Arabidopsis thaliana: one gene and its partner. The protein of the gene in region 2 interacts with the protein of the main gene of each other region in a pairwise test. Each region holds a gene or a part of one and is shown on either strand. Other genes may lie near its edges.

What was found. Proteins that work in one complex are often made in the same cells at the same time.
Region 1: the proteins of AT4G37180 (region 2) and AT4G00870 interact in a two-hybrid assay, tested with the Arabidopsis thaliana proteins (one large-scale study listed by BioGRID).

The regions. Positions count from the first base shown.
Region 1 is NC_003075.7:362,073-365,829, forward strand, and holds the start of AT4G00870 (basic helix-loop-helix (bHLH) DNA-binding superfamily protein), read right to left. Parts: upstream 1,638-3,757; 5' UTR 1,568-1,637; coding exon 1,307-1,567; intron 1,169-1,306; coding exon 158-1,168; 3' UTR 1-157. Other genes in the region: AT4G00872 (Plant invertase/pectin methylesterase inhibitor superfamily protein), read right to left, coding at 2,075-2,369, 2,444-2,664.
Region 2 is NC_003075.7:17,502,414-17,506,170, reverse strand, and holds the start of AT4G37180 (Homeodomain-like superfamily protein), read right to left. Parts: upstream 1,608-3,757; 5' UTR 1,524-1,607; coding exon 1,298-1,523; intron 1,227-1,297; coding exon 1,045-1,226; intron 955-1,044; coding exon 639-954; intron 525-638; coding exon 448-524; coding exon of another isoform or gene 391-447; exon of another isoform or gene 355-390; coding exon 64-354; 3' UTR 1-63.

The DNA.
Region 1 (3,757 bases), about 17 Mb from region 2:
AAACTACGTATCAACGAGATCAAACTTTTGATAAAACAACATTAATCGCTAGAAGGAATTTGATTTTTCTAGTACTTATCAAATAAAACAAAAGGTCGCAAAAAAAAACAAAAATTATTATCACATCCTATGTTGACGTCACAAAACAAAGAAATTGTTATAGGCTTAGGGTTCGGACAAGTGTGGTCCTAAGCCTATCTTCCGATCTTAATCCTTCTGGAACCAAAACAACAACATCTTGAACCATAACCTGACTCAAGCGCGACGCGTTCGCGTGTTGTACACGACAATCCATTTCCATTAACGCACTCATCAATGCCGACGTAGGATGGTTCACATTCTCTGTCTGAACCCTAATTATGGCTTCTTCTCCGACGATCTTCACTTGCACTTCCAAGTCAGAGCCTCTGTTTGATTTTGAAGGTTTCTGGTTAACTTGGTACTCAACGGAAGACGGAGACGTATTGCTGCTGCTGTTGTCTAATTTATCTGTCTCCGTCATCTTCATTTTCTTGATCTCAGTTTCGAGATCATCGATTTTGGATTTAAGACTTTCTATGTACGAAACTGCGTCGGATAAAAGTGACGCTTTGTCCATTCGTGACACTTTTGGTACGATGGCACGTAGAGCGTAAAACCGGTGGTTTAGCTTCTCTCTCCGTTGCTTCTCCGCTTCCACGTGGGACAAAACCGCCGGATGATGTTTCTCTTTCGTCGCCGCAGCTACCCTTGTCGTCTCAAGTTTCCTCCTCCGTTTTCTTTCCGACCCGAATTGCTGATTTCCGCTTTTCGAATGATCTGATACCGCCGGTTTAGGGTAAGAACCGGTTTGGTTAGTGTGTTTTGTTGTTTTACCCGACCCGAATATGGACTTGACTCGGTTTATAAAGTTCCGGTTTTGTATAATTGATTCAGACGAACCAAGTTCGATAATGCCATTGTTGATGGGTATGGAGACCAATGTGTGTACCCCGTGAAAACCGGCTTCTTTAGCCCTCTCGTAGTTGCTAAACCGGAGCTCGTCGGGACCGGTTAACCAAACCAAAGATTCATCGGATACTTCCTTTCTCGGCGATCTATCTTCACCGTAAAACGATGCGGCATAGAACAACTCCAGATCATCTCCACCGTCCATCATCAGCTCACACTCGATGCTGTTTGTTGTATACTTAAGAAAGAAACAAAAACAAAAAATCAAGGGTAAGGAAAATTATATTATTTTCTTAATAGAACTTTTTTAAGAAGTTGATTTAAATAAATTTTGGATATTTTGATTAGATAACATAAGAGGCAAAGAAAAATGAACATTTTCTTGGGAATTGTTGTTCTTGTTTCCACAGAAATGACCATCAACCCAAACCAAGTAAGACCGGTCCGATTGATCATCAAACATCTTTTGCCAAAAAATGACATAAGCCCATCGGTCCGGTGAGGTTTCCACGACAAACCGGAGTTTTTGTTGAAGTACTAAATCCGGAGGAGAAGAGGACACTATGGCTGCAGGAGTTTGTTGTGTAAAAGAGAGCAAAGAAGAGGACAATGATGGAGAGAAAGTGAGATTATACATTTCTTTCCAGTGATCCCGACCAAAGAGAATTTAGAGGGTTAGAGAAGACAAGTGGAAAAGGATGAATAAGATTCTAAATTAATAGAGAAGACGATATTATAGTAGTAATATCAAATTTTCATTAATGATTTTCGTGAATTAAAGTTTATGATAAATATTCCAATAGTAGTAAGTTAGTCACGTGAAAACTGAACTGTTTTCCTACTTTAACGTTATAAGAACAACAATTTATCGTATAGTGGTCCAACTTTGATGAAATAGACAATATATCATTCTTTGCCAAAAAAAAAAAAAAAAAAAAGACAATATATCATTTAGATTTATATTGAATGATGGTTCAAACGAAAACTTATTTTGACAAATTTGAAAAGAAAAAAAAAACATGAGAGCTACAACAAATGGATATATGTGACTTTATAAATTTCATAAAGGAAATGATTTATTCAAATTGGGGTAAGCATTGATCGAAGTTGAGTTATATAGAAAACAATAAGGAGTTATTACTTATTAGAAGCGATCAATGATCCTCATAGCAGCGTCAGAGAGTTGAGCATAGATATTGATTTGACTAAATAGTTGGGGAGACGTGAACTTGACACGTTTGAGATTGAACATACATCTCAGAGGAAAGCCAAGCGCAAGCTTTATCGATTTGTTGGTTTTATCATAATCACCGGTTTTCAAACTTGTTTTGGCTTCCGACAGTATTGTAGATGCATTCGTCGACAAGTCTTTTTTGCAAATCTCCAGAGCTGTTTTCACTTCACCTTTATCTTTCTTTGACGATAAATTCGTTATGTTACTACACAAATGAAAAAATTGATATATTAGAGGATATTTCTGTATATTGGTTATAATTTGTAAGTGAAAACTTGCTTGGTGATGATATGGAGGTGGGATTCAAGACAGTTTATGACGATGCCAGCTATGCCTATATGGTCGGCGTGAATGGAGTTTGGGTCGGATTCAAGACATTGCATGCATATGGCTGGGACGTCTGCATTGTGGCATTCATTTATCATCATGTCCTTCTCGGCGCATATCGACATAGGAGAGATCACCAGTATTAACAGCAGAAACTTGATCATCGTTTTCATGCTAAGTATGATTGATTATAGACTATATTTCTTTTTAAGGGGTGTGAATTACTTATATAAACTAAGAATATGGTTGGTCATGACTCATGAGTGATCTCTTTTACATTACACGTGTTTAACGTCTTTAATTTTACCTTTAAAACTGACCATTGAAATGCAAATTGATGTCTTATTTTACTTCATTTGGGTAGAAAAGCAGATTATAGTTCTCTTTTTGAATTATAATTTATACATTTTCTTACTCCATTCAATAATATTATGATCTATTACCCTTTAGTTTATGTTTTAAGTTTTTTTAATACATTTATGGATATTATTAGACATATAAACAATATAATAATTAAGATGTTTTGGCTTAGAACCTCCTAGTATTAAAAAAAAAAGTAGGGTAATTAATGATGTTTTTTCTTAAAACAATAACTAAAAGTAAGTAAAAGTTTTTTTTTTGTTAATTTTAAATTTTACTAATTGTAAGTAGGTAATAATAAAATTTAAATAAATTAGTGTAATTGTTTTTTTTTATATATACTTAGCTGAATACTTCCGTAAACATGTTTATAATACAAAAGCCCAATTTTGGCCCATAAACTTATAAAACATGGGTTTTTTTTTGTCGTTATAAAACATGGTTTTAGTTCACGAAGAATAATATATTCCTACCGCATCTAATCTATTAAACAAAATCACGTTATTGTATTTGGTAGTGAGTGTTGTTATTCTGGCCATACAAATGGTCAAAAGCCTCTCGTCCATTTCTTTCCATTTTCAAGATTCTTCAATCCATCATTATTTTGCTTTACTTATAAAGAATCGTACGAAAAATTATAATCGAAATAAAGTTTCGAATATACGTACTTCAAACAAAATTAAGAGGAGAAGACCACTGCACAATTGCATATTTATGGTAGATTTTGCTTCACTTTTTTTTGCAAGTGTATGATTAAAGTTTTTCTAACATATCATGAGGTTGTTATTTTTGTGACCGTAAAGATTTAATGAACAACAATTGCGTAGACAACAATGTTGATCAGATGAATTTATAGATTTAGCGAATAAATTTCTTAACTTAATCATTCATTTACAGGAACTTCGT
Region 2 (3,757 bases):
CTCAAAGTTTTGAGCATATATAACATAAGTTGGTAAAGATTATATCATTCACTATGCAGACTTTCAAAGCTCAAGATCCAACACTTGTCTCTTCTTCTTTGTTTCATCATTTCTACAGCTACTACGTCCATCAGACTTCTCCTCCTCTTCATCCTCCTCCTCCTCATCTTCCTCTGAGCTATGACCAACATTACTACTGAACAACCCTCTTGCAACAAGTGGGCTTTGTGGCGAATCCGACCTCGACAAACTTATTAAGCTCTGCGATTCTCTCTCTAACACACCTGGCTGATCCGACGATGACAAAGTCTTTGTCGGATGCAGCGGATGCTTACGGATATGCATTCTATATTTCTGCAATAACAATTTCATTTCACCGCACTGTCAAAATCATTCATTCATCCACACATCAAAGTTTAAGTTACTGTAAAAGATGAGAACTTTTACTTGTAAATGGCTCTTGACTTCATCATTGGTTAAACCATCAACTTTCATCAAATCTCTAATCTGCTTTGGTGTAGCAACTGTCTCACAACAACAACAACAACAACAACAACAACAATACAAAACAATCTCAGTATAATCAATCAATCAAATCTAAAGCAAAGTTTGATCCTTTACTAAGGTTAAGGACTAACCTTGTGGCCCTCCAAGCCTATGAAGAGCATCAACAAATTTACGGTGAAGTTCCTGTGACCATCTCCTTCTCTGCTCTTTCTTCTGAATGTGATGACTCTGTGAAGAAGGTTTATTGAATTGATGATGATGATGACTCTGCTCAATTCTGCTATAATCCATCATCATCTCTGATGTTGGAGTCATGAGAGACAGAGGAGCTGGTGGTGGAGGAGGTGGGGGACGGTTAAATGGCATAAATACCCCTCCTTGATTAGGGTAATTACATGTCTGAAATGGGTTCTGACTCACACACCGATCTTCTTCTTCTTCATTTGTCTGTCAAAACATGATCATAAGGTCAACAAGATCAATCACACAACATATGATTCTTCACAAAACATAAAAAGGGTTGCTTTTTGATCGTACCGATCGGAATTGGGAATTAGGGTTCGAGATCCATAACTGGGCAGAGCTCATCCAGCTCTTCTTATCAGTTTCCGGTTTTGCCCTTTCAACATCATCGAATTTCCCATTAGATGCCATCAGTGATAACCCTTTTCTAGCCTCATCCTTCAACGCCCCAATCGCTACACAGAGAAAAACAATCTCTTTAAACAAAAACACGAATCGATTAGAGAAGATAAAAAAAAGAAAAGGAGAGAATTTTAATAAAAGATACCTTCGTTCAATAAGAGCATGCATAAAGGGAGTTCTCGTTTAAAAACATCGATTTTGTTCCTTTCTTCCTCTAATTTTCCGACATAACCATCGATTTCAGACAGTTTGGAATGATTGTCTTTGATCCTCGACACTTCATCGAGAAATTGAGATAAGGGTTTTGGTAAAGAGTAGATAGACAAATTCAGATTAAGACCCATCCTTTGATCGGTTTCTGTTTGAACCATCGGACAAGATAAAGACAAAGAGAAGCAAGCTTAAAGAGGTATATATAGAAGAAGATGATGAAGATGCTGAAGAAGATAAATGAGAACAAAAAAAAAATGAGATTAGGGAAGAAGAAGAAGGACGCGGTGAACCGTAGCCGCTGTAAATAAGTGGAGACTTGAGGGTGTTTTTGTCAATATTAAAATTAGATTTATCTTTAAATGGAAGAAAGAATCTTTTTGTGATGCCCGTACACACGCGGCGAATCGTTACACTCACTTATATATATTTATTCTTCTCTTTTTTTATATTTTTCTTTAAGGATTTTTTTCCTTTTAATTCGGCTATTAATTATATTACAATTTTCAGTTTTGGGAAACTTGTTATTTATTTTGTTTTTAGTGCTCTTCTCATTCAAGATTCTCATATTCCTGTTATCCTGTATTTAATATTTTCCCAAATTAGTCTTAAAAAGAGGATTCTGAAGAATCTATAATATTTTACAAACACTATTTTCTGCATATGGAGTGGTTCAGGCTGTGAAATATCCCACTAAAATATTTATTAAAGATAATATAAAAAGAATCTGTTGAAAGACTAAAAATAAAATAAAGCAACTCAATTATTGGATAAAAAATTAAAAATAAGGAATTAACAAAATCAAACTATAACTAAGAAAGATCAAATTTATTTGTACAAAATTAACAATTTTCTACTTTTTTAAAGAAAAATCAAATTTTATTTTCCTACTTTAACAATTAAAAGTAGATAAGTTACACTTTTTTGGAGTAAAAAATTACGTTTGAAATAAAGAAGATTTAGACTACAACAAATATTGACTTTTTATAACCTAAATGTTATGAGCTTGAAAGTTATACATTTATAGTCAACATGATATGAGATTAAATGTTGAATATAAAAAAGGTATGTACCACATAGTACATGTAGCACATCGTCAGAAATAACTTTGCTAGACCAACAATACCGAATGGGCATAACCGTGTATGGCCTATGGGCTATGGATTCATGTATTTGTTATTGTATCTCAAACACAGAGCTATACTGAAATCTCGGTTTCATGGAATTCGAACCACTCGTTTAAAAACCGATAAAACATTCAAACTATACAATCGGGTTTAATTAAACGATGTTCTTAGATAGGCAAAACCACATGTACGTTTATGCAAGTAGTACGATACATAAATTCGTACTTCAGTTTGTACTACTATCATATAACTAGACTAAATTAGTAGAGCCGTATAAATAATTAATCTTTACTAGTATAGGACATATTCGCTTTAGTTTATCTTTTCGAATAGAAAAATTATACTAAATTTTGCTAAATTTTACTAAAAAATTATACTAAACATTTTACCCGGAAAAAAATTATACTAAATTTTGCTAACACAAGCTACTAGCTGTATTAGAAATCGACACATACGTATGTGATTTTAAAAGAGTGAAGTGGTCAAAAGATCTCTTTGTCTTTTCTTTATTTTTACCACACGCAACGTCCATTTACATTCACGGTGAGCATTAGTTTCAAGAAATCACGTAACCTTTGTGTTTATAAGTGCCCTTTTCATGGTTTAGTTGGTTTTGGTTATCGTATTATGAATATTTTTGTTCATTTCAGTGTTGATATTCTTTTCAAGAAACTAGGTTGATCATTCTTATGTAGCACCATTATTTCTTGCAAATTATTCCACTACTCATCCATTTTTTTTACTAATCAAAACTTATATCGTTCAAAAGGTGAATTATACTTAATATTATTATATGAAATAAAACTCAAGAATTCTCTAGCAAAATGAGAAAAAAGGATCTTTCGCATAATCCAATGTAAAAGATCCCAGTACGCAAAGCTACTTTATTCCATGCTTTTTCCTGCTAGCCAAATACAAATTTCTTTCAATTTTAAAATAGCATTCAATTTTTTCAAAATAACATTTGATTCCTCTAACAAAAAGATATTCCGAAACACAGTAGCATGTAAAATGCCTAGGACCTATAAACAATAAAGACCACAAGGAATCTAACGGACGGACCAAAAGAAACGGCTCACTGTTAGCCAACTATACCAGGACACGTGTCCAACTAATCCAGATTCTTTATCATGAGAATCGTTTTTTTCTTTCAAGGAGGAACTGAAACGTCTCGACTTTGTTTGTAATAAAGACGTCGAGATTTTGATGCCGTTGATTGATTAGATTCTCGATCGTGGGTTCGCGACACGTGTCCCTAACTTTTTTTG